Linked DNA regions of Bombyx mori. The protein of the gene in region 2 purifies or fractionates together with the protein of the main gene of each other region. This does not show direct contact. Links are inferred from orthologs where the notes say so. Each region holds a gene or a part of one and is shown on either strand. Other genes may lie near its edges. The genes, in order: transcription-associated protein 1, armadillo segment polarity protein, E3 ubiquitin-protein ligase UBR5, ruvB-like helicase 1, paxillin, CREB and S-phase kinase-associated protein.

Region 1 (4,295 bases), on a different chromosome or scaffold from region 2:
TAATTTGGAAAACATTCTTAATATTTATTTTTATTTATAGATCTTAACATTAACGAACATAAAGTATTCTTTCGTGAGTTGATATCTTTGTGTGAAGCTGAAGATTCGATGCTAGGGAAGCTACCTTGTTACAAAGGTGTCAACTTGGTGCCTCTACGCGCCTCTGCTTTGAGGGCTCTGGCGTCTTGTCACTACATGCAAGAGAAACACTGCAGAGAGAAAATATTCCAAGTACTTTATAAATCTTTAGAGAAGAACGATACGGAATTGCAACAAGTAAGTGAAGTTATTATATATTGTCTAAATAGTAAACAAGATCCAAAATTTTTTTCAATTTTTTTCTATTTGTAAGTATTTCCCAAACTGGCTGTGATAAAATGTAATGAATAATAATTTATACGCAGGCTGGCTTTGAATGTATGCAGAAGTTCTTATCCGGCTTTCAAATCGACATGGAGATGGTCCACCCGGTGATGCGGCCGCTGCTGCTGACCCTGGGCGACCACCGTCACCTCAGTGTGAACGGCGCAAAACGACTATCGTATTTGACGCAATTATTTCCCTCCACGTTCAGCGAGAAGCTCTGTGAGCAGCTTCTGCAGCTTCTGAAGAAGTTGCTGGATTATTCTATACAAACAAATAGGGGTATGTTCATGTGCAACTAACTGACCCGGCAGACCTCGTAATGCCTCAATCGTTAAATAAAAGATCTAAGCTTTTGTATAAAATAAACTTAAAACAAACAAAAAGAATCCGTCTGATGGGGGACACATAAAAAAAAATGTTATTTTTATTTAATTCCGAGCATTTTCATATTTATCTACCTTTTAAATATTCTTTGGACTTCCACAAATAATTCAAGACCAAAATTAGCCAAATCGATCCAGCCTTTCTCGAGCTTTAACGAGACTAAAACAGCAATTAATTTTTATATATATCTGCAATAAACAATCTTTATAGTACCACATAAATAACAAGTTTTATTTTCCAGGCGGAAATTTCTTGCAAAGTGTTTCGAAGAACATGGAGAACGAGCAAAAAATCTTGATTTTAATTGGAATATTTCATCAAATACCAGCAGCATCACCCCGCTTTATTGACGTTCTTTGTCGCCTTATATTTCACACCGAAAAGTCTCTGATGATTGAAGCTGGTTCGCCTTTTAGAGAGCCACTGGTCAAATTCCTTATGAGGTGAGTACCCACGCCACTTGTGGTTATAATAACTAGTGGTCCCGTGGTAGTTGAAATTCGACTATAATTAATTGAAATTATAAGTTTGTACATTACTTTATTTAGTTTACTTTACATGAACTTCTAATAGGTTGGGGAAAAAGTCTTTTCGCATTATAGTATGTATAAGGTTGTGTTATGTTATATAATATATGCGTGTGTGTGTCAAATATATGCTAGTGTGTGTAATGTTTTTTTATTGATTTAATGTATTTTTTACGCATAATTAAAAAAAAATTGTATTCTGCACTCCTTTTCTATAAGAGTGAGAAATTTCATACTCCTCCGTCCGCGCAATTTTCGTTAAAAGGGGTACATTTTTTGCTTCATGTATTAATATATAGATACAGTAGAATACTTTTATATATTTTTTTTATACTTATAATTTTATTTTAGATACCCAAAAGAGACCCTGGATTTAGTGCTGGGCGACAATAATATAAAGGACCAGCAGTGGAGTCGATTCCTGGTCTTCCTTATCAGACATCCCGAGGCTGGTCCCGCGTACAGAGAGGCGCTACAGACTTCTAAAAAGCCTCGTCTAATGCAATTGTTAGCGTCCAACTCGACCGCGACAGCCGCCCAACCTCAGCCAGAAAAAGCTGAAATGCAATTCCAGGCCGTCAGGGCTATATCGTTGCTGATCAAATATGACGACCAGTGGCTGTCCACTCAGCATGACTTGATAGAATTACTGAAACGCATATGGTACAGCGACAAGTACCATGTGAGTGTTTAAATTTGATTATATTTTTTTTAAATGTATTATATTTAATTCTTTTTTATTAATGAATATTATTTTTGCAGGAAATTCATAAGAAAGTGGAAATTGTGGATTGCACTCATTGGAAAGAACCAAAACTGATTGTGAAGATTTTGTTGCACTATTTCTGTCATCATCCTAACAATATCGACCTCTTGTTTCAACTGCTGAGAGCGTTATGCGATCGTTTTGTGCCAGACTTCCAGGTACTGTAAATAATATAGAAAATTTCGAATGCTGTTATTTACATAATTTAAGACTAAACTAAATGATTTTTTTATAGTTCCTGCGAGACTTCCTGGAAAATACAGTAGCACAAAATTACACAATCGAATGGAAAAGGTCGGCGTTCTTTCGCTTCGTCGAACATTTCTCTAACGACGCAATGTCTCAGGAATTAAAGGCGAAAGTCTTGCAGATGATTCTGATTCCCTGTTTCGCTGTTAGCTTCGAGAAGGGGCAGAAAATAGTCGGAGGCCCGCCGGCCCCATATCAGGACAACCCCGACAATGTCGTCTCTGTGTTCATAAATAATGTAAGTTTCATTCGTTTTGGTTCACATTAAAAGGTATACATATTTTACAGTGAGTTAAATATATATTTTTTACATTAATAATCGACATGTTATTTTTATCCAATCAGGTCATAGATCCAGAAAATCCATTCGCTTGTTCGGACGCGGTTCGCATATCCCTGCTCCAGTTCGCATGCCTGTTGCTGGAGCAGGCGTCGGCTCACATCCACGACGCTAATAACAAGAAGCAAGGAAACAAACTCCGCAGGCTCATGACCTTCGCCTGGCCGTGCCTCCTCGGGAAGAACTACGTCGATCCAGCCACCAGGTCAGTCAGGTTTCAAGTTAATGATAATTTCATTGATCCGATCTAAATTTGTTGTAAAATTAATCTTGATATACTTTTTTCCTGCAGATACCATGGCCATTTGTTATTGAGTCATATTATTGCGAAATTCGCAATACACAAAAGAATCGTTCTGCAAGGTGAATATGAAAATAATATTTATTTGTTTTAGTGGGATTTTAGTAGAGATTTAATAAGAAAATTACGTACTAAAATGTGTTTGTTTGCGTTAGTATTTCACAGTCTGCTAAAGGCCCACGCGGTGGAAGCGCGTTCTGTGGTGCGCCAAGCGCTAGAGATACTGACGCCGGCGATGCCGCAGCGCATGGAGGACGGCAACACGATGCTAACGCATTGGACCAAGAAGATTATTGTTGAGGATGGACATTCAGTGCAACAGCTCTTCCACATACTGCAGTTGGTCGTGAGACATTATAAGGTTAGTAATCGAGTATGAGTTCGAAGTCATTCGCGGGATTCGAATACCGACACAGTCACAACGCTCTATTGAATGCACCAGGCGTCTTGTTCTTTAGGCCACTACGACGTCAAAATACTAGTCGGCGGTATTAAGGAGTGATTGGAGCCTATAGGTAGTATAAAATGAATGTTGATGTCCTACTTGAGAAGTAAGATCGAAGTTTCATTTCGGTTAGTTTAAACACATTGAACTTATTCATTAACGCCATATAAAACAGCGTCAGTTTTTTTTTCATCTTTTCGCACGTAGCTTAAGAGGTTATTCCAGCTATGCGCGGACGGGTAGATGAGCTTACGGGCTTAACCCGAGAGAATTTGCTAACACTAGCCCATACAAGAGCAGTGGTTTGCAGAATCTACCACCAGATCGGAATCGCAATCCACTGAGAAGATCCGGCGAGAAACTTAGTGGGTTGTGTCTATGGGTTAGTTCGCCATGAGTTCGACGAGGAACAGCATCAGTATTCGATTTATTGGTATACAGCGATTTTACTGTACAGTTGTGTCATAGTTGACGCCTATAAGTGACATTAACTACTCAGGTGAATCGTATGCTCGTGGGCCTATAAAGGCCAAAAAAGAATCCTGTAGATATGATTAGCAACGTGACGTGCAGGTGTACTACCCGGTGCGGCACGCGCTGGTGGGACACATGGTGGGCGCCATGCAGCGGCTCGGCTTCTCTGCGACCGCCTCGCTGGAGCACCGCCGGCTCGCCGTGGACTTGGCCGAGGTGGTGCTCAAGTGGGACCTGCAGCGCATCCGGGACCACGCACTGCCCGACGACAACATCGTACGTACACTACATCTTCCTGATATGTTCCTAATAACAGATCTCAACTTAACTGATCGTTACATATTTCACTGCCATAAGAACAATAAGAAACAGATCTCTGACAAGTAAAAGTTCTTCCAATTTTTATCGCTAACAGTAAATTGTAAAAAATGTTATTATATAAC
Region 2 (4,178 bases):
ACCATCATGGCAGCTTGGGATACTACTACTTGATCTTCATCATTCAGTAGCTTTATCAACTCTGGAATAGCTCTGAAACAAATTTAAAATCAATAGGAATAGAACAAATGAATAATAATAGTGTAATGTTTTTTTTTTCATGCTTGTTGCCTGATGATCTGATAGAATATCTGGTGTTAGGCTATTATATTACATAATTATACCTGGTAGCTAAATCAGCATCATCTTGATAATTGATGAGGTTCACCACAGCATGCTTTAACATCTGGGAAGGTTCAGCTAAACGCTGGACAGCAGTTGGTTGAGCGGGATCCAGCTGTGTCGATGGAATTTCAATTCCTTCCTCCAGCGTTTCAGGAAACATAGCCGCACGGACTCTTTGAGATCTAGTTTGAGAAAGCTGTTGATTCATATCTGAAAGTAAAGCATATGATATTGAATACAACAATCCAAACAGCTTGTATTGTCATAAGAATTTTTGTGTAAAATTATTTCTATATTGTACATTCAAACGTTTCTAAATGAAATGGGGAAACAACTCACCATCAACTTGTTCTTGAGTGAATCCCTGAGCAAAACCCTGATCAAGGTCAAACATAAGTTGGTCACCTTCCATCTCATCATCTTCCTTGCCAGTTAGTGATGGAACCTGAAGAGAATCATACATTTAACTAAAATAAATTGATGTGACTATTCAAAAAGGTAGGAGTCATCTGATTATCACTCTCAGTCAAGTTACAAAGGTATGGTTATGTATTCTCATAAAAAATCTTTTGTACTTTTGGGAATAAAAAATATTTTTTAAATATCAAATAAAAGTTAGCAATTATCACTATAGCTGATCTTTTGTGCATTTTTATGATATTTTATATTACTTTTCGAGCTGTATACTAAGATTTTAGTTTCATCAGTGCTTAAACAACTATTAAGAAGTACACAAGGCTTGACGTGTACTCTAAAAACTAAAATGCAAGAATATCTTCACACTATAATGGATGGTGTTTTGCTCATATTTACTGTCCTTACTTAAAGAACACAGGCCAGATAAAATCAATGAAATACCATAACAGATTTCACTAATGAAAGTACTGCTCAGTTCAATTCAAAATCTATTTAATATGCAGAAGTAATTTTCAAACTGCTAGTTTGTATGGTTCAGTCACGACTAAATGAGACAGAAAATGTTTTTTCTTTTTCTTTAGATCATTCTACGTTTAACAGTTAAAAGTTCCATGATAAAATCAGCAAGGTTTAGAGCACACGTAGTTCAGGTATCTCATATTATGAAGTGTCATCATAATAAAAAATTTAATCAAACTTCATCATTATTTTGTATATTGAATGACTTATGTTGTTGTATTGATAAAGATAGATTTTCAGTTGTGTCCATCCCAAAATTATGTTAAATTAAGAAGACAAGCCGTATTTTATTTTAATCCAATTTTTATAATGAAATAGGACAATATTACTGCTGTATTTTATAATAGACAGTCTGATAACATTACCTGGGTAGCAGCTCCAGAGTTGATTCCAGAGTCCACTAAATAGGAGTTTTGCTGCCACATCAATGTCTGCTGCTCTTTGTTTGGTGCCATTGGCACATCAGAAGCAACATAGCTGCTGTGCGACACTGTAAAATAATGATGTTTTCTCGTTTTTTATTCACACAAAACAGAGAGATATATATATATTTCTGTAGGAATGTAAGGGGTAGTATGGGTTTAATTTCAAGCGAACATAAAGAGAATTAGTAAGTAGTTGCAGGAGCTAAACTTAAACTAAAATAAAGTGGTTACTTTATGCCATTAATGTGAACTCCACGTCTTTTGACAAGAGATTGAAGTTTCAATTATGTTGAATCCTAATCTTGTTATACCTGTATTTTCATTAATTGAAGAACCTTTTTGAGAGTTCTCAAATCATAACAAATTATATTTCAAATTTCCTTTTAATCTAATTTATTTGCAATTTGTTTAAAAATTGTTTTCAAATAAATGAACTGAGAATGTATGATTCAAAATGTAATTTTTTCCCTCAGTTTCAATTCCAATGTTTTCGTGTTTTAGGATTTCTTTTTCTTTTGCTACTTAGCAGAGAATGTACTGAGATACAGAAAAGTTAAAGTTCATTTATAAATTTATCGTTCAAGTAATGCCATATGCATGAGTCACGATAGACACAAACCGATTCATTCAATTGTATCGAAGTAAGTGGTTTGAACAGCGTTCAGTAAGTACTCAAGCTTTTTGAATGGCAATGATATGATAAATTTACATTTACAAAAGAATCAATATAAATTACTTACTTGTGCGACTTTGCGATGATGGAATTTGATAACTCATGATTTAGACGATGCGACGATGCACCCGTCCCCTGTTGTAAAAAATACCATAAAACATGTCTCCGCTTTGTACGTTATCGATCGATTCATAAGAATTAAAGCATGGTTCACATTAGAACTTAATCACATAAACATTTGCATTTATTTAATGCTTCCCACTAGGAAATACTTTTGGAACAGCGGAAAACAAAACAAATAAGTGCACCATGAACTAAATACCGAACACCACACCCGACCCCATAAAATAACTTGTACTGGTCGAGATATTAAGGTGACTAATATCATTATTTAATTAAAATTAATGCGAATAAAACTTACCTTGGCCGTGCAAGCCAAACAGATTAACTGTTTTCACGACTTTTAAATAATTTTTACAAATTAAATGCACAATATCCGACCCACCGTCACTCGATTCATACAACAACATGGCGGAGACTCGTCGAATTTCGTTTACTTTCAAATGCAGCTGACACTAGTATTGCTACTTCGTTCGCTCTAAGGTATTGCATATGCTTTTATCTCATTTTTTCTTCAAAGGCTCGGGGTGCCAACATAAAGTTCAGGGATAAATTGTAAACAATACGATTCGTGGCACGCAGATTTGTATTTTTTTAATGATGCCTAATTGATTTGTAACTTTTTTATACAGCAGATAATAATTTTACATAATTGTTACGTCATATTATTATATTAAATGACCTAGTTTTAAAAAACCTGATGTACCTGAGCCTTGACCACTGAGTCTACTCCCTGTCTGAAGGTACCTGAGGTCTTATTCCAGCTATGCCCGGACGGGTATGATTTTAAGGGATTGACATGAGTTAGACCACGTGACGTTTCGTTAGCATAGGTAATTATTATTTATTATGTCAATTCCTTAAAATTAAATATAATAAATACGGTACTTCTGTATTTACATATCTAATATTCACATTAACGCTAGTACATTCACAGATAATATATGTACTTAATATTTAAGAGCACACTTTGTCTAGATCCCTAGGTCTATATTGGTTACTAGCTAATATTTAAGTTTTTAGATTAAAGGCGGTTGATTTTATCAGGTATCTTTATCAACTTATGTGAAAATATTTCTAGGTACAAAATTATTTCGAAGCAACATAGTAGGCAGAATCCTGCTTCAAGATCAATGCACGAAATAATGTCATACAAGTTCCGTGGCCGTGAATGCGATGGCGATATTACTTTCAGATTTTTTGTTGGCATCAAAAGCAAAAAAATATCGTGGGTTCGATTCCCAGATCAGGTAAACATTAGTGTGATGAACAGATTTGTTTACTATTTGTTTGGATGTTGATATCCGTATAAATGAATGAAAGTATTGAGCCATTTTAAATGTTATAAACGTACTTTTAAAGGTATAGCTATGTATTTATTTATCTAGTTTGGGGCCAACTGAACATGTGTGATTTCTCCGAGCTAATTTTCTTTTTGTTATTTTGTAATCTTACAATTTGTACGAAAAATTTCGTCTTGACCAGCTGGGTAGTTAAAACATGAAAGCGCAACAAACCACCAATCCCACTTTCGCATTGAATAGTATTATTATGGATTGAAATTGCCAAGATCTTCTGCTTATCGGGACTTTTTTCAAAGTTCGTTTAAAAGAAGCACCTGTCAAATCGTAGACTCAAATGGATGATTTGTGCATATTTTTTATGGTATTTCAATAACACCGACCGTTGTGAAGCAAGAAAACCTCGAATAAATACGTGCTGTATAAAGTCTTCATTATTATTTTACGGAATCAATAAATTAGTATCACCTAAAATGGCCAGCAGTTTATACAATATATCAACGTACAGCCGTTTAAATT
Region 3 (5,016 bases), on a different chromosome or scaffold from region 2:
ATACATATTTTCAGTACCTGTTTAAAAAAAAGCTAAAACTTGATGAACAGAAAGAGCCTGCACAATAATGGTTTAAGCATAGGTTCGGCATTCTTTATTATTTTATAACTAAGGAAAACAATAGACAAATTACCTTGAGAACTAGGAGCAGCACGAATAGAATTTCTCATAATTCGAGCTCGAGTGCGTGGCTGTTGGCGAGATCCACAACTACCACTGCTGCCTCCTTGCTTTCCACCACTCGTTCCACCTCCACCACTTCCGCCACCGCCATTTCCTCCATTCTTGCTAGCATCTGATTTACTCAGGTCCAATCTATCAGGGATGATTGAGAAAGCAGCTCTACATATGGTTCCATCTTCCAACAAACATGCAATATGGGCAGGCCCAGCAGCAACAGCCCGTACACCTCTCAGTGAACTGAGAGCTGAAGAACCTGCACCTGTTCCGTATCGGTTCCAACGTTCTGCTACTTCTCTAATTCTGTAAGACAAAAATACAAATTTTGTATATTTTTTTAAATCTTCTGAAAGGAATTTGGTAAAAATACTTAGATAGATAAAAATACGAAAACATTTCATATATTGAGTAACATTTATTGTCCATTTCATCATTTAAATAAAAGTCAATCAGTAAATACATTTATAAATTAGTAAAAGAGTAGTGAAAAGCAGAGACAAGGTAATTTTGATTTAATTTTTCATCCTACAGTACTTTTTTTTAGATGGTTGGACAATCTCAAAGCCCTCCTCGTGTTAAGTGGTAACCGGAGCCCATTGACATGTACAACGAATGCCGCTACCCGGATTGTTATAAGAGTTCTAAGGCCTCAGTATAGTTAGGGTGGTGGTACATACCTGTGTGGACTGACAATACCTACCACTAGTGAGACTACTTATAAATACTTTTCAGTTATTATATGAAATAAGTTATTATGAATATAAGTTATTATATGAATACTGGTGGTAGGACTTCTTGTGAGGACGGGTAGGTACCACCACCCTGCCTATTTCTGTAATACATTTACAAATTGTGGTTACCATTTTGTCAAATTTAAATAAATTTGAATTTAATATGAAATCAATAATGTTCTCTCTGCAACCAAAGAATAGATTTCAATTATATGAGATTGCACATTGAACTATATCAAGTTATGATTTTTTTCTTTGTTATTATTGAGGGAAACATATATAATAGACTAGAATATTACCTTACATTACCTTGATCCCTAATGGTATAAAATATCTTTAATACTGGAACTCACCAGCAATAGAACCCAGACTCCAAGATATAGTACTCACTAAGTAGAGAACCAGTGAATCAAATAGGTAAAAATATTTTGAAATCTGACAATATAGCTATTTGATTATGTGTACTCTCTAAGCACATTTTCTGAATATTTAATCAAGTATTTGTAAAAATGAAGTTTCTATGGTAATTATAGGTGTATTATTCTAGAATTATGTTCTTTGTGTAATAATTTTAGTACTAAATTTAACAAACTAGTGGAACATTATATAGACATCCCTTATTTAATTTATAGTTAGCAATAGGTTTTCTTTGTATTCTTGTTGTATTCAGTTGTTGGACTGATTTTTTTTTTTGGATTAACAAGCTACAAACTTCACAGTCACATAATTTTACTACAACCCATATAATTCACATTTTTATCCACTTTGAAACATGAGGTCATAGTCTCCATTTACTGTATAGTCTGTCCCACCCCTCACACTGCAAGATATTATTGCTTTACGGCAGAAATAAGCAGGATGTTGTTAACTAAACAGTGCAGGTCACAATACATCCTACCACCCGTAAAATCTAGTTGACTATTTTAGTGTGCTGCCCATTATCTAATGAATTCATTAGTAACACAAACACCATGAGAAGAATGTGATGGTGCCATTCTAGGTGTACACACTTGACCATATAAATTTGAATTAAAATTAAACAACCATCAGATTGTTGAACAGATAAACCAAGATTGTTGAATCAACATGCCATAAAGTTAGTTGCGCGGGTCAGGTCTAAATTCTATAAAATGTAACTATATTTTATTAAGCTATCCTTTTCTGCCTTCATGATGTTCTCGTCATGAGGAATGGTGACATTAACCAACACTGCTCAACACAGAAGACCCTGTCTATTATCACAGTATTGAGCTTATTGGTGACAATAGACCTGTATGTGATAATAGATTGATCCCAGTTGGGTGCAATTATTTATTATTAGATATTGTTGTAGTCATCCGTTTAATAACTTAACACAAAAGATGCATTTTCTCAGAACTGATTTTTTTCATATAGAATCTATTTAAGAGGGTAAAGAAAGCAAAAAGAAATGTACTAATTGGGTGTGTAAGTATCAAGTAAACTACATGTATATTTCGAAACTTCTTAGTTATATTTGAGATATACTTTATGATTTAAAGAATAATAGTCCTGTAAATCGAATTCAGTGCATTTTATATCTAAACATTTATCTCTTGTAGTTTAAAAATCTCATCATGAGCATGACCTACCTACTTTTGTATAAATAGGTAGCATCAATTTATTGATTGTGTCTTCATAACTGAAATATCTATAGAAACTTATAATTGGGATCATGAACTAATAATTATGATACTGTAAAACTGGACACGAGAAAACGGATTTTATTGCAATCGTACATCTGAAAATTATATTTGCCATGCCCATGAAAAAACTGCAATACATAATGTCACCGACACACAAAAGTATTTATTACATATATACCTAGTATGTACATCTATATTATATTTTATAGTGAAATTGAAAAATTTAAGGTGAGTACACCGTGCTCATTAACGTGAGACATTAAAATGTTCTTTGTGAATTGAAGTCATGGAATGTCGGATTTCACAACGTGAACGAAATGGAGTCTAGCAAAACGATAAAATATGTTTACCTGTCTATCAACTGATCCTCCGTCCCAGGCAAAGGATGAACTACAAAATGCATTGCAGACATTTTCACGATTCTATCCCGTGGAAACTAGATTTCAAAGCACACTTTAACATTTGTTAAAATTCACCACAGTTATGCACGAACAAAAGAACACCATCTACAATTTTCCATCAACCACCATATTTCTCGTGGTTTCTCTTGTAATCGCTTCTCGTACTCAAATACATGTGAGTCGGTACATGACGAAAAAAGAAGGAAAATATCAACATGGCTACCAAATTTTTCCTTAATGTTGGTAAGAGTTCGCTAACTACAAAAAAAATAATCGACTAAAATCTTGGGGGACCGGTTACATCGTAAAAAAAAGAAAATGATAAATGAAACTATTGTATTAAGTTAAATAACCATTTAACACATAGTATAGCTACTTCTTTTAAGTATATCAAGCAAAACGGTTAAAAAATCTCTAAAGGAGGTTCTAATTCAAACAAAATCTTCATACAGAAATTATCCATGAACTAGATAAGTTAAATATTGATGTCACAAAGAAAATAGTTGCGTTGTAGTCCTAAAAGGCAACTAAAAGCATTACCTACTTGTTTTTATTTAAAAAGGCATTATTCTCTTTAAAGTACACTTTAAAAACTGAGTTTAAAAAGTAGTACATACAAGTAAGTTATGCACTATTTAAGTAAGTTTTTAATTCTTCAATTTTGTTTTATTATATTGATTTTATAGATGTCTCATCAAGAGTGCATTTTTTAATCTTGTGAATTTTTATTTCGTGCAAGTAGCAATGATTAGCATTGCATAGCATAGATTTGATAGCTGAGAATGTTTCGATTATATAACATTTGAAGCATGTATGAAGCACCTTGTTAAAAACATTTTCTCGGATGATTTACAAGGGAATTAAATTGTCCCTTCGTAATAAGGTGACTGTCTACAAAACTTGCATACATCCAGTCATGACCTATGCAAGTGTGTGTTCGCTCCCGCAGCCCGCACTAATTTAAAACCCCTGCAAGTCATTCAAACCCGTTTTTGCAAAATAGCCCTCTGAGCACCGTGGTTCGTGAAGAACGTGGATCTTCACGATAATGTGGAGTTGGACTCCATCAGTAATTATTTACAGTCGGCATCAGTGCGCCATTTTGAGAAAGCGGCGTGACACGAAAACTCTCTTGTCGTGGCCGCCGGTAACATGTAGTTATAGTACCCGATCCTGAAAACCATTGTTAACCAAACCTGCTACATGTTTTTAGTATAACTACAAATGATAAACAGTCCACGTCGCCCAAAACACGTCATTCCGGATCCTCCCGATCCACTATCGGTACTTTTAGGTACCACAACGACGAAGAGTAAATTAACCCACAGACACAGCCCACTGAATTTCTCGCTTGATCTTCTCAGTGAGTCGCGTTTCCGATCCGGTTGTAGATTCTGCGAAGCACTGCTCTTGCTGGGGCTAGTTTTGGCAACGTCCTCAGGTCAGAGCTCCGTGAGCTCACCTACTCGCCCGGTTACGCTGGCATAAGCCCCTAGGCTATCAGTTTAAGTCGAAAAAAATAACGAAAAATCTTTAAAAAAAAATTGGAAAAGTTACAATGAGATCGCTCGCATACTTCGCGGAATTCGTTACATGAAAATAATAAGTTTTTGTTGTTAAATAGACGCCATAGATTTCGATGACATTTAGTTTTAGTAGGACGGCGCCATATACCACGCCCATAGATGATACATTTTAATTATATGCCACGGATGAAACAATCGATTTATTACCGCAACGATTTCTAGGTCAATTCATATCACGAAATTATCACGTCAACTGGCCACAAAATCACACGATTTTCCGTCATGATATTTTTTATTTAGAGTTATGTGAAGTCTCAGTTTTATTTAAGTATATCAATTTGTGGGTCCCATGGTATAAATATCTTAGTTTGGGTCCAGAGAATCGTGTGCGTGCCGCGGATTATGCTAGTAAACAAAAAAATCAACAATCAAGATCCAACACGTCATGTATAAAATATAATATTTGTGAAAAATCACCGAAAATTTTGTGAAAAACTCGCCACCGATTCCTTCC
Region 4 (4,754 bases), on a different chromosome or scaffold from region 2:
ACAACTTCTTTCTTTTTGTGTACATCACCTTTGGGTAGCGGAACATATTCTTCAGCCTAGGAAACAAGTTCAAAGTTGATTATCATCCAAAGAGGGGATTAAGAATTGATTGTATGAGTCAGAAGTAGAATTACGAAAAGTTTGGAGGAGATTGATTGATTCAATTTGATTGATTGATTGTTGATTTGGTATTAAATGATTCTAGTAAGTACCACTACAACTAAATTTAAATGCACCATGTACATACCTCAAGGTCAAATTCAGTAGCAAAAGTATCACTCCTACCCTGTCTCTTCACTGCCCCCGAATTAGCTTCAATGTAAATGACATCCCCAACTTCAACCTTTTCCTTTTGTAACGATTCATATATAGTTGGATCAAGTTTAAGTTGTTTGGTACCCTTGGCCGTTTTTAGTCCTATGATCACATGAGATACTGTTTTTCCATAGCCTTAAAAAAAGAAGATATCAAAAATATTAGGTAAAGCAGATATAAGCCAAAGAATCAAGTCAGAGCAAGTCAAGTCAAAATTTTACAGTAATTGAAGCAAGATTATTCATTGCATGATAGATCCACACAAAAAATCAAAACTAATATTATGAACTTTGGTATCAAATTTTTGACCAATTTCAAAGCTTCATGTCAAGGGGAAAGCCAACCCACTGCCTACAAACTGTGCTAAGAGTAGTTGTAGTTAAGGTTTAGACAAACTTATCATTTTACTGAATGTGCAACGGACTCCCAACCTTCAATTTAAATTGCTGTTCTTAAAATACAAACTGACTATAGCCAATATCTGTCAATTAATTTCATTTTAAGTTCAATCATAGTAGATTATATCCACTTTGGCTTTAGCTATCTAGAGACCCTATTTAGACCCTTAGACCTTCTTATATCAATATAAAAAAAAAAAAAAAAAAAACATTTAATTCAGACCCTCTTAAGTCCATATTAATATATAAAAGAATAAAAGAATAATTTTGCTATAGTTACCTCCAGCAGGATTTTCTGTTTCAACAGGTGTTAACTCAGTTACTTCACCCTCATATACTTCTTTGGTTTCACGTATACGCAGGCCTATAGCACGTCGAAAATTCTCCATTAATACCTCTGTTTTCTTGATCTCTGTGCTGTAAACTTCACTACCAACCATTGGACAGAAAGGAACCTGTAATGATGAACATTTTCAAATGTTTTTATGCTTGTTTTATGACAAATTGATGATGATGATATTTCTATTCATATACTTCTAGCTAAGGACACTGAGGAAACTATGATAAGTTTATTATATGTAATGTACTGTTTAGCATATTCATTAATTTTCTAATGCCAATGTATATTAATAGGAGCCTATTAATCATTCTTTCAACAGTTCTTGTTCACTGGAATTTACTATTTTCTTAGTAGCTGTTTCCTAACCTCTATCTAAAAAGTGTGCGAATAGGAAGTCTTAAGTGGCTGCTTCCACCATAATCGGTCAGTAAAATGTTAACACATGGTCAGTCACACTATGGTCAGTATGCTCTAAACCGATGCCATTGAGATTGTCAATAAAAAGACTTTTAAAGAGAAGTCGTCGTGGCCTAAAGGATAAGACGTCCGGTGCATTCGTATCTAGCGATGCACCGGTGTTCGAATCACGCAGGCGGGTACCAATTTTTCTAATGAAATACGTAATTAACAAATGTTCACGATTGACTTCCACGATGAAGGAATAACATTGTGTAATAAAAATCAAACCCGCAAAATTATAATTTGCGTAATTACTGGTGGTAGGTCCTTTTGTGAGTCCGCACGGGTAGGTACCACCACCCCGCCTATTTTTGCCGTGAAGCAGTAATGCGTTTTGGTTTGAAGGGTGGGGCAGCCGTTGTAACTATACTGAGACCATAGAACTTTAGGTGTGTGGCGCATTTACGTTGTAGATGTCTATGGGCTCCAGTAACCACTTAACACCCGGTGGGCTGTGAGCTCGTCCACACATCTAAGCAATAAAAATAATAATAAAAAAACACTCATTTTAGATATGAAAATAAGAAGGTGACAGCCCAAGTTTATATTGTCAGACTTAAGTAAGAACTTACCTTAGTTCCAAGTTCCTGAGCGATGGCAAGAGCTATAGCAGTTTTGCCAGTACCAGGAGGCCCTGCCAAGAGTAAAGCTCGCCCGGCCATTTTCTTACTTCTTATCATATCTACAACTATCCCTGCAGCCTACAATTTTTAAAATTAATAAAAAATAGTTTACAAAAAAAAATGTATTTGTATAGATGCAATAAAAATACCTGTAATTTTGTGGTCATTGGACAGTAAATGATAAATAAAAATTAGATTGTATTAAATGTGTTAGGTTGCTTAAGATTACATTGAATTACTATTACTAAACTACCTAATCCTACAATTCAACATTTTGTTATGTATATTGTCATATTGCCTCCAATTACCATTGATCAATAATTCCATAGCAACCAAACATTGATAACCTCAAATTATTTTTCTCGAACTTCTGCTCTACGAGGTTGATCTAATAAAACTTATACAATTTCGAGTGTAAATTTATCGGCAATTTTTTTGGAAATTTTATTGTATACCTCACGTGCAGACTCTTGACCCACGAGACCGGCTGCCATTTGAATAGGAACACCATTTTCATCCAACCCCAAGCCTTTTATATGACTGTGAGCAGAGATCCTTTGCGTTTTAGCTGTGCTTTTCACTTCTTCAATTTTCATGTTGAAAGCAGCTTTACTCTTTTAAACAGTAGACGTTACTTTGTATTTTCTTTTTAGTACTCCAACAGCAAACTTGAGCAAACTTACTTTTTAAACTACACCATACATTATACAAACTACACTGTACAGACAATATATTAAGTTTATAATCTATGCTACAGACCATAGATTAGGTATACGCTTCTTACAGACTACAGCACATAATGCCGGCCACTCACATGCGCGCAAATATTCGTACATTGTACGAATGTTTGCGCGCATGTGAAGGGCCGTCAAACATTCATTCGCAAACTTAGCGGCTGTGCAAATGGGTTCGGTACTCAATTTGCGAACCCGTTTGCGCTTCCTCCTACACTTGTTTACGAATGTCTCACGAATTTCTCCTCCTTTTTAATTCGTCAATAGAATATTGAAGAGAAAAAGAGTTTTGAATTCTTTCCCAGACATCATTAACAGCCATGCTGTTTTTATGGGATTTCTTTTGATTAAGATACGCTACACAGTACCTGGACGTCACGATCTATGAAAATAGCGAAACGTCCGTTGCCTTCGCTATCCTGGGCGCAACTGGTCACACGAATGTGTGGGAGACTACGCGAAGGATCGCGGTTCGCGCGGTTTCATGTCTGTTAAAAAACCGACACAGCTTGGAAAACCACGAATGCAGCGAAAACTTTGCATAATCATTTGAAAATTAACAAAAATTTCAAAATTAAAAAATTATAGCACACACACGTCATCTACTCTTCTATTTGCCCTGAGTTACTAAAAAAAGAAAATTATCTATAAATATAGTTTGAATACTATTATTTTAATTAAAAAAAAAATTCTATATGATTTTTTATCTCTTTTTTTATTATTATATTTCTAATTTTCGTAAAAAGATAATGTAATACATACAAAACAAAAGCCATTAAGTTTATTAAGTCAGAGCTTCTCTGTAAACGATAATTGACGTAGTTTTATTTTTTTAAATAAAAGAACACTTACTGTGGCATAACTATAATAGTTATACTGCAAAAACACTGTAAATATTAATGTGTTCTACAAAGTCGTAGTACATTATTTTATTCTATCATAAATAGTTTTCGGTTTTATTCTATCATCAAATCGGTTCAGTAGTTTCGGAGCCTATTCAATACAAACAAACAATCAAATCTTTCCTCTTTATGATATCGGTATAGATGTATATAAGTAATATTCACGCAATGCTAACATTTTATAGAATTTTGTGTTACATTTTCGTTCTACTATTTTTACCTGTAAAAATCCTAACGTATCGCCGACAAATCTTATAATATATTTTATGCAGAATTATAGTAGTCGTTGATTCCGGTCCGGCGGTAGATTCAGCGAAGCACTGTTTTTGCTTGGGCTAGTATACACCAATTCGTCAGGCTGAGCCCCGTAAGCTCGCCTACTCACCCGTTGAAGCTGATAGGTATAACTATAGCCCCTTGAAGCTACCAGCATAAGTAGGCAAAAAAAAAAACAGTGGTTGGGTTCGTTTGACATTTAGTAAAGTCAAATTTCACATAATCCGGTAGGTAAATGCCAAAAATTGACAAAATTACAGAAATGTAAAATCGGAAAGATAAATTAATCAATCCAGACAATATTGTGTATTGATTAAGACACAAAAATCTAACTTAAAGATAGTTTTAAAACAGTGAGATAGATGAATTAGGTCTAAACTTATTAGTTCAAGTAAAATCAGGCCTTTTTTCCGGTATATATATAGCATTAGATTCACTGGAGAATCTAATTTGAAATGGAGTATACTGTGCAGAATTTGGAATACGCCGTTTCTGTATTCTATAACGGAGAACAAACCGAAAGGGCCAACGCACATGCGTGGCTCACAACGGCTCAGAGAGTTCCCGAAGCCTGGAATTTTGTATGGGATCTTCTTCAGCCAACTAAAGTTCGTATCTTAAAATTAATTAAAACTAATTAATATATTATTCTACATATTATAAGGAATTCATTACTTCTCGTTACTTCTAATCCAACACTAGTTATC
Region 5 (3,188 bases), about 2.4 Mb from region 2:
AGACAGCCGGTCGTTAAAATCTCCGAACAAGCTACAGTATGTTTACCTGTTGTATAAGTGGTATTACTTAGCGATATTTAGGCAAGAAATGCTTTGACACATGAACTCCATATTCAACTCTTCAAATATTCCCTATTTGAGTTCTCTCTCCCTAAGTAGAATGGGAGATTTAGTAAAAATTCAGCGATTGTTACTTACAAGGGTGTGCTGACCGTTTCCTAATTTATCAGCGTACCAAAATCTAAAACAAATAACATAGGAGGCTCCTGGTCTACACTATTTAAAAAAATATTGTTTATGACCTAACCGCGTATATTTATTTATAACCTTATTCAATTAATGTCTGTGACATTTTAGACCGACGACAAAAACATTTAAACCTATCTAAACTGTATAAGGGTTTATATAAATATTTTATAATTAGTCATCACATGCACTTATCTAGCTACTACTATTTCAAAGAATATCCGTTATATTTTAAGAAATTTAACATTTTAGTAAGAAAATGAATATTTTTTTCATTGTTTTCTTTACCTTAAACATAACTGTAGTGAATTTTATAGAGATTTTAAGGAATTAATGGTAGTAAATTACTACTGCGTATTATTCCTTACTTTTATTGATAACTTTACAACTTAGACCAATAAAAAATGTTTTTTTTTTTTTCGAATTTTCGATTATCGATTATCTTTTTCAATGAGCTATTAAGATCGTGAGCAGATGAGTTTATATTTAGACTTCATTGTTCGAGACTTTAAATCTCACAAAAAACAAACAATGTTCTCACATAAAATCTAATGTTATTCCATTTAGTTTAATAATATAATAAATCGATTTTTATAACAATACGAATATATTGTATCCGATCAATAATTAATAAAAGTCGTATTACATAAAATTTATTTGTCGATATCCGACATTTTGATGTGACAACAACAGGCGCCATTTTGCGTTCGCTCGCCGCCATTTTACCCGAACAGCTTGTCAAAGCACGCGTGGCAGTACGGCTTGTCGTTTTGTTCTTTGAAAGTGCCTTTGTTGAGTTGTCGAAGGCAAAACGCGCAGACGAAGTGCTCCGGGTGGAATTTCCTGAACATCGCCGTGATGCATCGGCCCGCGATCGGTTTGTGGCAGCCCGCGCATAATGACCCTCGCTTTCCGTGGTAATGCGTCTCGCAGTACGGTTGGCCCTCGTGCTCGAAGAACGAACCTCCGTGGAAAGGCTCACGGCATTCCTGGAACACAACTTTTTTTTTTTAATAACAAATAACCCAGTACATTTGCGCGTCACCGCATTCTCCATTAATGTGTATTCCTTGATGCAGATCCCCGTTTTTATTTATTTATTGCTTAAATGGATGGATGAGCTCACAGCCCACCTGGTGTTAAGTGGTTACTGGAGCCCACAGATATCTACAATGTAAATGCGCCACCCACCTTGAGATATAAGTTCTTAGGTCTCAAGTATAGTTACAACGGCTGCCCCACCCTTCAAACCGAAACGCATTACTGCTTCACGGCAGAAATAGGCAGGGTGGTAGTACCTACCCGTGCGGACTCCCAAGAGGTCCTGCCACCAGTAATTGGCGACAAGACTATATTATATATTCATTGTGTTTTGATTTATTTGTTTTACGAAGTGTCCATAGTAGATACTAGCGAAGAAAAAAATCTTGAATTTACAAAAATATACCGAGATTTTTTTTTAAATAAATACATATGCAATTGACAAATCTGGGTCGCGTTGCGTCAGAATGTTTTCCGTCTATCCTTCAACCGACTAACATTATAATTTGGACGCAATCCATGAAAACGTCTGGTTATATCAACATTAAAGATTTTTTAATCTAATTTTATGAAATACGATGTTTTTGTAAAATTTCAACGTTGAACATTATTAATGTTTTATTACGAGGAGTTTATTTGTTGAATTATTTTGTAAGTGCACTGTTTATTGATATGCTGACAAACCGACTGGCCAGTGGCCACCAGGGTGAGAGCGACTTTATATGATACTTCATAGCGTTGCAGAGAAACGGAGGCCGTCAGTACCAACCAAAGTAACTAATATGCGTGTTTCACTTTAAAATATGATATACTTAGTTTGTTTACTATAATTAGTTTGCTAATTAATATCATTGTTGTTAGAATCCCCCTTTTTTCACTACCTACTCGCTGGTACTGGTATACCCGGATGGATGAGCTCGCGTGCACAACCCGAGATAATTTGCTAACACTAGCCCAACAAAAGCAGTGCTTCGCAGAATCTACCGCCGGATCGGAAACGCGACCCACTGAGAAGATCAGACGAGAAACTCAGTGGGCTGTCTGTGGGTTAGTTTACTGGTGAACGGTAACCGGTGCTTGAGTACCTTTTTTTTTTTTTTTTAACGCTGGGGAATCCATTTACGGATACCCGGTCGAGAGGGGTAATAGACCGGGTTATGTCGGACTCCGGCGCCTCCAGAGAAGAAGAGGAAGAAGAGGAAGACCAAAGTCCTCCTCTTCTTCCAATTCCTACCGGGAGACTACGCCTTGAGAAAGGCGCGCGTGCTTGAGTACCTAAAAGCACCGTTAGTGGGTCGGGAAATCTTGGACGAATTTAGTACATAGTATTTGATGATTGGTCGTGGCGTGAAGGATAAAACCTTCGTGCAAGTGTATTAAGCGATGCGACTACCGGTCATCGTTCTCGTCGAACCCATCGCTTGCGACGAGGGGCTCGCCGAGTAAATTAACCTACAGACACAGCCCACTGAGTTTCTTGCCAGATCTTCTCAGTGGGTCGCGTTTCCGATCCGGTGTTAGATTCTGCGCAGCACTGCTCTTGCTAGGGTTCGTGTTAGCAACGTCGTCAGGTTTGAGCCCCGAGAGCTCATCTACTAGTTAAGGTTACGCTGATATTGTCTCTCTAGAGTACTCTAGACCGTCAGCTTAGGTAGGAAAAAAAAGATGCGACTATGCCGGTGGGTATCTAAGATTCTGTAGACAGTTATAATTTTCTACACGTCAACACGTATTTACGAGCGACCTCCACGATGAAGGAATAACGAGAAATGCCTGTTCGTGTTTTCTAAATTGTGTTTTCTAAACACAATTTAGTCGTGTCAACAACACAAAAAAGTCGCAAAATCGGTTTAGTCTCAGACGATCGCAGAGGTTGTTGACCCTAAGTTTTGAGCTCGTTC
Region 6 (4,821 bases), about 3.4 Mb from region 2:
AGGAGATCATGACTATTAAGGAACGAACTCAACTGGTTATGGATAAGGCGTTCGAGGACTTTAGATAGGAAAGGAAGAATGGATATAGGTCGATAGTCGGAAAAGGATTTAGGGTTAGGTTTTTTTGGCAGAGGTATTATCTGTGCTTCTTTCCAAACAGAAGGAAACACACAGTTGGAAATTGAAAAATTAAGGATGTGGCAAAGAATAGGAAGCAGGATATCAACTAATGGGATGACCATATTACGACTTATACTATCTGTTCCGATAGCATTGGACGCTATAGAAAGGATACTCCTTCGAACATCACAAGCTGTGAATTGACGAAATTTAAAAGAAGAATGGTCAGGAGCGGTAATGTTAGAAAGAGAATTAATGGTAGATGACTTAACAACGTCATCTAATAAAGACGAAGAAGTAAAGAAAATGTTCATCTGATCAATGTTAATGTTTGTAGAATTACACTCTTGACGAGATTTACCAACTCCTAATGACCTTAGAAATTTCCAGACTTTTGCTGGATCCTCAACTTTAACGGAATCATGAATGTGACGTCTTTGAGCGTCTCTACACACCATATTGCAACGATTTCTGATCTTAACATAACGTGTTCGGTTAAACTCGGTTGGGCGCAACTTATACTTAGTCTTAGCCGCAGACTTCCTCCTCTTCAGATCTCTAATATGTTTATTTATTATTTAATATATTTAATTTATTTTTATTAATTATTTTTCATGTCTTGTTTTTAACTAGCTTATCCTTTTGTTTCCTTTTGATGACTTTGTCGCGGGTAGTTTCCCTACCTTTCACTTGAAACTGGCATAAAGTTAAAACTATTGCCATAAAGGAAAAAAAAAAAAAAAAAAAAAATATGTTTGATTTTGAGTTTTGTTTTGTGACAGTTACATTGAAAAAGTCGTGACACTTGCAATATGTGACACAATAAGAAGATACAATGTAGGCAAAAGTAGCTTGCATATGCAGCCACGTGACTGACGTCATCATATACCACATAGGATTTAGGGAGTATAAAATTGCTTCAACACAGAAAGTTACTCCCAAAGAGTATATAATCACTATAACTGGTTACTCCAAAATGGTGTTTTCTTTGGTTCATTATTTATTTTAAAATTCATTGATTATTTATGGACTAAGTTGTTTGCGAAATTTAAAAAAATATGGACAGTTAAAAATATTTTTTCTTGTACAATATTTTTAACATGCATAAATGTCGTGTAAGTGATGATAATCAAAAAACGAAAACAATGATTATGTACCTAGACATATTATGAACACAATTTTTTATTGTAATTTCAAAGTTTATAACATCCATTACTGACAGTTATTGTAAATTGAGAATTTTTAACGCATGCGCTATCCAGTTAAAGAATTCGGCCATATTGTGATGACGCATACAAGATCATAGGTCTCCGCCAGTGACGAGTCTTCTCGCAGTTGACGTGGCTACTACGTACCTTCCCGTTCACCCACTCCGGACGCAGCATAGACGGTGACGAGGAATACGTAACTGGTGAGTGCTTGTGAAGACTAAACTTGCGACCTGTCACGGTCGCATATATTTGGAATCGCAAATAATGTATGTTCCATATGATGATAAAATCACTCAAAATGTTCCAAACACAGAGATAATCTGTGTCATTTACATGAAACGCGTTGTTAAGAAATACCGCGTTTTGGCTATGACGTGATGATGCCGTTTTAGGATATCCCGTGAACAACCTTGCAACGATAGAGCCAAGCTAAACAAATTGGTTTTGCAATACGCATAAAAACCTAGTAATGAAGAATGCATAGAGAGTTGACCTTGAATTTTAGGTGACCTTAGTTGGCATGGAAGGGATGGTTGAAGAGAACGGCACCACAGGCGGTGCTGGCACGACGGATCCACTGGCCAGCGCGAGCTCTTCGACACCGGGTTCCACTCCTCATGTTGTCACCAGTATAGTACAACTTACTCTACCCAGTCAGGCTCCCTCTGCACAGGTGTGAATTCCATCTATATGTATTGTTGAGTGAATCAAATTAATATAAAATTTTAATATTATAGTTAAAAGGGGACCTTTTCAATAATATCAGTAAACTGTTTGTTTTGTTTACAAATATTAAGACTAGATAGTACATATAAATCATTTAAATTTTTTGCAGGTGCAGTCTGTTATTCAACCTAATCAACAATCAGTGATACAAACAGCATCCAATATCCAATCTGTACAGATACCAAAGGGAAATGTTATACTTGTTAGTAAACCCAGTTCTGTAATACACACTACGCAAGGGACATTACAAACGTTACAGGTAAATTAAATATTCTCTAATCTTTACAGTAATTCACTCAATAGTGTTGAGGAAAGCCATCATTGCCTAATTTTTTGGTTAGGATAAAAACATTTTTTGAAATCAAACTTTATAGCATATTTAATGACCAAAATAAGCAATAACTAGAGTATGGTTCAATTGTAAATTTTCATAAAATCATACTAAATATCTAAAACAGACAAAAGTTTCAAATTTTTTTTATTCCTATTTCTTATTTTAGATAAAACCAGAACCTAATACACTTGTGAATACACAAGGTCAGTCATGTAGTGATGAAAGCTGTGGCAGTGGTGATGAAAGTCCCAAACGTAAATATAGAGAAATGTTGACTAGACGTCCGTCTTATCGAAAAATTTTAAATGACCTTGGAGGAGCAGAAATTGCAGGTACAGTTTCTATGTTTACTGTTTTGGTGTATAATAAAGACTTGTGATAGATGTAGTGCTGTGCATTGTGCGAATAATAGTCTGCTCAATAATAAATTATGCAAACTTGATTCACCTAAATCAATCATTACATTTTTTGTCATTGGATCAGCTACCAATGTAATAATATGGAAAAAGCACTAATTTATCAAATGTATTGCTGTTAATAATACTGCAGTAGTAATGAAGATGCAATAATTATGATAACAATGTCATATTTTGTCTTTCAATAATAATCATAATTTGATCACAATGACTAAATATTTTTAATTAAAATTGGTTATTATCAATCAATATGCTACTAAATTGGCACAGTTAATTGTCGCTAGTACTAATGTTTCATAGCACCGAAAAAGCTAGTAGTAATATTTCTATACTAAGATGGGCCCACAACCCCTCTTTTTCAACCCATGTCCACTTAATACTGAGTGTAGTTCTCTTCACATGCACTCAATTCCCTTCAGTCTCTTGCCTTTCTCCATCTACATCCAGTACTTACTAGCTATTTTGACCATATCGTCAGTCCACCTCCTTGGTTGTCTGCTGACATTACTTTGCTCAAGGCCTACATATTATAAAACGACAACTGGAGCTCATAGAAACTGCAATGTGAATGAGATTGGATTATGATGTTCAATATTTTGCATTAATACAATGACCACCTTTGGTCAAACCGGACACATTATTATTTTTCACTAGAAATAGGTACAATACTGATACCCATGTGAGGGCTCATGGTATTCCAAATTTAAAATTAAAGAGGGTTTTATATGCTGTTTATTGATATCAGAAAAACCAAAGCCAGAACCAAGTCACTCCCACTGTGGAGCTCCAAGATATTACTTAAAGTGGTGGAAATTACTGGCAGTAGCTTAAAGATACCAATTCTTGTATTTAAGACGAAACTGATTTCTCTGACTTAAGATATCATTAGGCTTTTTATATATATTACAATCTAATTCTCTTATTATTATATATTTTGAGCCTGGCTAAATTCTTAATGCATTAAATTTGGAGGTGAGGTGAGGATTTAACTTCACTCATTAGTGGAGTTAGCACCTCTATTAATTGTTAATGTAGATAAAAAAAATACAATTACAAGTAAAATATAATAGTTTCGTTAATACTCTTTGTCAATTTCCACACATGTGTATGTACAGTATATAAAAAATAATATATGATCTACAAATTTTGTTCAGTAAGTTTTTAAATGTGAAGCTAACCAAAACGCTTGAAGTAAGCTGTAACCGTTTCTTCTTTTGCAATTGTTGGGCAATCGGTCAGTCCATTTAGACAACGATACTTTTCACTTTTATTGTGTCATTAATGAAATAATTTAAAAAAAACTCCTGAAAGACCAATAAATTGAAAACTTTAAATTTAATGTCATTCCATTTGTATCCAAAAATAAAACTTGAATAATTTGAGTTTAATAATTTTTACTTTCAAACATTACTCTGGTAGGAAATCTTGTTCATTAATACAACTTACAAATTTAACCAATTTAGCTCTCAAAATAAAAATAATTAACGAAATAATATCTTGATACTAAATAAAAATATCTTCATTGTATAAGTATGCAAGTTTTTTTTTTGTTCCAAATGATCTGATTGAGTTGAAACTTTTTTACATTCAGGATAATAATACTAAGGTATTTGCAAATAGCAGTCTTAATCGTAGTCTAAGTTTCATCTACTTCTAAATTATATAATTTTATTAAAATGAAACTAGCATAGACCGTAAAACAAATTAAAATCTGGCACGATTACCGTCCACGGGGAATATAATAATATGTAAGATTGTACATGAATTGCTTGAAATAAATAATAGCATAGAAATGGTTATTGACCTTTTTATAGGTACTATGAACTTTTTATACTTTTCCACTCTTGTAGCCGAAATAAAAAGTGAAAATTAATTTTCATAATACTGAGTATAAACTTTACTGGATTATTATAATTAAAAAATTACTAACCATTATAAAATGATAATTAAGTTACCTACAAAATAAATAAATTGATTGTAAAATACTCTGCATCACTCCATAGTCAGAAAATAA
Region 7 (4,148 bases), on a different chromosome or scaffold from region 2:
ACGCGATACACCGTCGACCGGTCGCTCTATTTACTGCTATATTGTTCCTGCTGTACATCAAGGGAGGTAGAGAGAAGATAGCAACCTCATACATTGGATAGCATTGGAGTAACACGCACATTTAGTTACGAATTAAGGAAAATATTGCAGATGTCAAACCCAACATAAGTCTGATTTATTTTAACATACTCTGGACAGTGCTAATAGTGAAATTTAACATGGCTCAATACACCCTAAACAATCCTTAATTCCATAAATAGCTCATGAAGCTATTGTAAATAAAAGGAAAAAAGGTTGGATCAGAAAAAAAGTAATCATCTGACTATTACATGAAACCCCAAGTCAAACAAACTATGAGACCTAAACATTATGTTCTATGAAAAGGAGAGAATAAATAATTGATAATTATTATTAATTATTTTTTTTCATTTGTAATGATATTTTATTATTAAAATAATAATGATTGTAAACAATAAATAATTGCCAATAAGATTTTTTTCATTACAAATTTTATAGTTTACTTGCACCTCTTATCCATGACCACAAAAACTGTTAGATTTTGAAACTGAAATTATAAATTGATAATAATATACTCAAGATAAACTGTAAAAGTAGTTTTTTAATTATAAAAATTACAATCCAACAAAAAATAATCACCTTTAAAATTTTGTTTTACATAGCATACAATGTAGCACAATATAAATTAAATTGCTGGAACTCACTTCCAGTTTCTTTTGAAAGAGGCAGACGGACATTTCTGACTATGGGTTCATATACTAAGCTTTAAAAGTAATTTTAATGACAAATATCTAAGAGGAAAAAATTGTTTCATATATATTATTTTCATTTGTTATGCTGATGGTTTAATTCTATCTTAGCATCAGGAACTGACTAAGGGAATGTGGTTATCAAATACATACATATACAGTGAAAATCTATTATAACAACATCGAAGGGACTGCTCATATTCAGTCGTAACAACCAGTGATGTTTAATGTGTATCGTGCAAGTACAAACAAAGTACAAACAAATCGATAGTGAATTATTGGAAAAATATATTTACACAAAACGCAATTTTTCTTTGTTATTAATTTGTTTTTTTTCTTTGCAACATTTTGAAAGTTTCACGAATAACTCCACAAAGTTTTGGTGTGTCTTGTGTATAGATAAGTAACAAACTAACTGAAAAGATATGAAGAAGTGGGCTTTGACTCTACCGCATACACATTTTTGTTTCTAAGAATTAGAAAAGACCCTACACTAAACAAAATCCTATTGTTTTCTTTCCTGATTTTAATAGCCATTGAAGACAAATGTGGATACCTATTCAAATTGTTTACAATACAGCTTAGCCGGTCGTTCTAACAGATCTAATTCTCCGAAATATTAGTTAAATGTGGTCATTTTATTAGGTATGTCGGTATTAGCAATGTCGTATAAAGCAATGTTTTTAATAAGGCGGTCATATAGCATTCAGCCGGGACCTTTGTTCTAGGTTATTATAACCAGCATGTTGCTCAAAATGATGTCGCAGTAAACGGTTGTGACTGTATATTTATTTACTTTTTGTATTGACATTGATGGTGACAAACTTATTTTTGTGGTTTAACATTGCAATGGATACTGGCAATTTCTGGACACAATCAAGACTACCCACACAATTAGTTAAAAAATAAGCAGATGACAAAAATTTAAGTCAGTGATTTATGCTAATTATTTCTATTTCATAAAGTAAATTTTCCAATAAATATAATACAATTAAAGTTAAATGAAAAGTAATTTAAATGATAATATGAAAATTTAAATTTTATTGAAAATCACAATGACATGATGTACCTATTTTTATATAATTTACAACACAAACAAATTTACTTGGTTTAAATTAATTATTCTTTATTGCCATGGGAAAAATAGTTTAATGTTGCATACATAGTGATAATACATAAAGATGCTTGCAAATAGCATTTATTATGGTTTACTTTTCTTCACACCATTCATTCTCTTTACGAACCTGATCTTCTTCTGCAGCAGTGAAATCATTCTTAATGTTGAACGTTTTACGGATTTCTTCAGGAGTCTTTCCTTTGATCATGTTTGCTACAGTTTTACATGTGACATCTAATAAACCCTTGATGTCCAAATAATTTGCAGCTAATATTAATTCAAAGAGTGTGCCTTGGTCAACTTTCAAAAAATCAGCATCCCATGATGATATGTCATCAGTCCTCTTTTCCTTGTTTTCGTCATCTTCTGGTAGCGGAGGATCGTCTTTATGATAAGTAGCCCACTGAATAACTTTTTTGAGTATTGCAGAATTGACATTAGGTAAAGGTACAACTTCCTCTTCATCCTCTTCCATGCCTAAGTCTTCTAGCATAGTTTTGATAGTTACGGAGCATTTGGCGATTTCAACATCAACAACGAAGACCTCGTTGTCTGATGATTGCAACTTAATATTTGGCATCTAGAACAAAAGAGCGGTGGGAACGTAAATCATAAAACGACGGCTGAGAATAAGACGCCATTTTCCAATTTATAAATAGCGAAGTATTTACCTTGTTTTTTCAAGTATTTGAATGTTCACAATTAAGTGAAATTTATTTATCTTCAAACGAAAATGCCCTTATGTTCTGGAGATTTTTCCTTAAACCCAAACAGTGAATCAATGAGTGAACGAATGAATAAAATCATTAATCAATTTTGTTTTTTTTTCTGCTTTCGTTTAAATTTTTCTAAGGGATTTTATGACCTGGTAACTAAGACCTTTAGGTCATGTCTTTTTTTAATTTATATTCAGATTTTTATAAATTTTTTATTATGGAGTGAAATGAAATGAAGATGATTAATTTGAGACATTAATCAACTGGGATGAAATTAAATGAAATGAGTTGATATGGTATGAAATATAATCTCAGTAAAATGGTGGTTATTTACTAAGATTTTTTCAGTGGACTTTTTGGAGGAACTCGAGAAGTTACGTCCAGCAGCTTTGTTTCATTTTCCCACTTTTGTGCACTTTCACAGATATTAAACATTTAATAAACCACCGTTATTACACATTTAAACCTGAAGAAACACTAAATAGACAAAATAAAACAAATCACACAACTTCACTCCTCGCGCTCCCGCCAAAAGTACCTCCAACACCAATTGTTTTTTAAGGGATTTTATGACCTCATAACTAAGACCTTTAAGTCATGTCTTATTTTAATTTATATTCTTATTTTTATGAAAAATGATAATATGGAGATAAATGAAATGAAATGAAGATGATTAATTTGAGAAATTAATCAACTTAGATGAAATTAAATGAAATTTGATGATATGGGATGAAATATGATCTCAGTAAAATGGTGGTCATTTACTGAGATTTTTTCAGTAGACTTTTTAGAGGAACCCGAGAACTTACGTCCAGCAGCTTTGTTTCATTTTCCCACTTTTGTGCACTTTCACAGATATTAAACAGTTAATAAGCCACCGTTATTACATATTTAAACCTGAAGAAACACTAAATAGACAAAATAAAACAAATCACACCACTTCACTCCTCGCGTTCCCGCCAAAAAGTCCCTCCAACACCAACATTCATTTCCCACCATAGATACACACTTAGTTTCCCACACAACTAAAAAAAAAAAGAAACTTGTGAATGGAGTAAAGAAGAAATCTAATATATAAAATTCTCGTGTCACAGTTTTCGTTGCCATACTCCTCCGAAACGGCTTGACCGATTTTGATGAAATTTTTTGTGCTTATCCGGTATCTATGAGAATCGGCCAACATATATTTTTCATCCCCCTAAATGTTAGGGGTAGTCCACCCCTAAATTTTTATTTTTATTTTTTAGACAAAATTTTTAATTTCTATTTTTTTATGATACAGCATACAAAAATACATACAACCCTAAATTTTCACCCCTCTACGATCAACCCTTATTTTTTATTTGCTAATTAAAAACTTTAAAATTGTTTGCGAGAATTTTGTTTTTATTTTGTCATGACGTAGAATAAAAAAATTCATATTACTCTGAAATTTTCAACCCTCTACGATCAACCCCTATTTTTTATTTGTTAATTATAAACTTTAATTTATTTGGCAAGATTTTCATTTTTATTTTTATTTTGTCATGAATTAAAATAAAAAATCTG

What was found.
Region 1: the proteins of armadillo segment polarity protein (region 2) and transcription-associated protein 1 purify together in Homo sapiens (affinity purification with mass spectrometry; 3 studies listed by BioGRID, with this or other methods). This does not show direct contact. The link is inferred for Bombyx mori from reciprocal best matches to the Homo sapiens genes CTNNB1 and TRRAP.
Region 3: the proteins of armadillo segment polarity protein (region 2) and E3 ubiquitin-protein ligase UBR5 purify together in Homo sapiens (affinity purification with western blotting; 3 studies listed by BioGRID and IntAct, with this or other methods). This does not show direct contact. The link is inferred for Bombyx mori from reciprocal best matches to the Homo sapiens genes CTNNB1 and UBR5.
Region 4: the proteins of armadillo segment polarity protein (region 2) and ruvB-like helicase 1 purify together in Homo sapiens (affinity purification with mass spectrometry; 6 studies listed by BioGRID and IntAct, with this or other methods). This does not show direct contact. The link is inferred for Bombyx mori from reciprocal best matches to the Homo sapiens genes CTNNB1 and RUVBL1.
Region 5: the proteins of armadillo segment polarity protein (region 2) and paxillin purify together in Homo sapiens (affinity purification with western blotting; 3 studies listed by BioGRID and IntAct, with this or other methods). This does not show direct contact. The link is inferred for Bombyx mori from reciprocal best matches to the Homo sapiens genes CTNNB1 and PXN.
Region 6: the proteins of armadillo segment polarity protein (region 2) and CREB purify together in Homo sapiens (affinity purification with western blotting; 3 studies listed by BioGRID). This does not show direct contact. The link is inferred for Bombyx mori from reciprocal best matches to the Homo sapiens genes CTNNB1 and CREB1.
Region 7: the proteins of armadillo segment polarity protein (region 2) and S-phase kinase-associated protein purify together in Homo sapiens (affinity purification with western blotting; 3 studies listed by BioGRID, with this or other methods). This does not show direct contact. The link is inferred for Bombyx mori from reciprocal best matches to the Homo sapiens genes CTNNB1 and SKP1.

What each region holds. Positions count from the first base shown.
Region 1 is NC_085110.1:5,823,559-5,827,853, forward strand, and holds part of transcription-associated protein 1, read left to right. Parts: intron 1-40; coding exon 41-276; intron 277-404; coding exon 405-645; intron 646-991; coding exon 992-1,193; intron 1,194-1,628; coding exon 1,629-1,959; intron 1,960-2,039; coding exon 2,040-2,201; intron 2,202-2,278; coding exon 2,279-2,530; intron 2,531-2,637; coding exon 2,638-2,837; intron 2,838-2,924; coding exon 2,925-2,995; intron 2,996-3,088; coding exon 3,089-3,294; intron 3,295-3,951; coding exon 3,952-4,128; intron 4,129-4,295. UniProt on the Homo sapiens protein: Adapter protein, which is found in various multiprotein chromatin complexes with histone acetyltransferase activity (HAT), which gives a specific tag for epigenetic transcription activation.
Region 2 is NC_085116.1:12,303,003-12,307,180, reverse strand, and holds the start of armadillo segment polarity protein, read right to left. Parts: upstream 2,801-4,178; 5' UTR 2,660-2,800; intron 2,613-2,659; exon of another isoform or gene 2,416-2,612; intron 2,374-2,415; 5' UTR 2,343-2,373; coding exon 2,306-2,342; intron 2,234-2,305; exon of another isoform or gene 2,066-2,233; intron 1,631-2,065; coding exon 1,506-1,630; intron 650-1,505; coding exon 544-649; intron 415-543; coding exon 204-414; intron 73-203; coding exon 1-72. Other genes in the region: uncharacterized protein LOC101744306, read left to right, coding at 4,001-4,178. UniProt on the Homo sapiens protein: Key downstream component of the canonical Wnt signaling pathway.
Region 3 is NC_085121.1:11,160,702-11,165,717, reverse strand, and holds the start of E3 ubiquitin-protein ligase UBR5, read right to left. Parts: upstream 3,208-5,016; 5' UTR 2,988-3,207; coding exon 2,926-2,987; intron 484-2,925; coding exon 134-483; intron 1-133. UniProt on the Homo sapiens protein: E3 ubiquitin-protein ligase involved in different protein quality control pathways in the cytoplasm and nucleus. Mainly acts as a ubiquitin chain elongator that extends pre-ubiquitinated substrates.
Region 4 is NC_085128.1:12,885,767-12,890,520, forward strand, and holds the start of ruvB-like helicase 1, read right to left. Parts: upstream 3,103-4,754; 5' UTR 2,732-3,102; coding exon 2,591-2,731; intron 2,214-2,590; coding exon 2,085-2,213; intron 1,169-2,084; coding exon 994-1,168; intron 451-993; coding exon 248-450; intron 57-247; coding exon 1-56. Other genes in the region: importin-13, read left to right, coding at 4,503-4,655. UniProt on the Homo sapiens protein: Possesses single-stranded DNA-stimulated ATPase and ATP-dependent DNA helicase (3' to 5') activity; hexamerization is thought to be critical for ATP hydrolysis and adjacent subunits in the ring-like structure contribute to the ATPase activity.
Region 5 is NC_085116.1:14,686,606-14,689,793, reverse strand, and holds the end of paxillin, read right to left. Parts: intron 1,236-3,188; coding exon 969-1,235; 3' UTR 784-968; downstream 1-783. UniProt on the Homo sapiens protein: Cytoskeletal protein involved in actin-membrane attachment at sites of cell adhesion to the extracellular matrix (focal adhesion). Recruits other proteins such as TRIM15 to focal adhesion.
Region 6 is NC_085116.1:8,892,988-8,897,808, forward strand, and holds the start of CREB (cAMP responsive element binding protein), read left to right. Parts: upstream 1-1,538; 5' UTR 1,539-1,597; intron 1,598-1,723; exon of another isoform or gene 1,724-1,836; 5' UTR 1,837-1,851; coding exon 1,852-2,004; intron 2,005-2,166; coding exon 2,167-2,316; intron 2,317-2,557; coding exon 2,558-2,723; intron 2,724-4,821.
Region 7 is NC_085119.1:7,149,667-7,153,814, reverse strand, and holds S-phase kinase-associated protein, read right to left. Parts: upstream 2,703-4,148; 5' UTR 2,556-2,702; intron 2,465-2,555; coding exon 1,976-2,464; 3' UTR 1,296-1,975; downstream 1-1,295. UniProt on the Homo sapiens protein: Essential component of the SCF (SKP1-CUL1-F-box protein) ubiquitin ligase complex, which mediates the ubiquitination of proteins involved in cell cycle progression, signal transduction and transcription.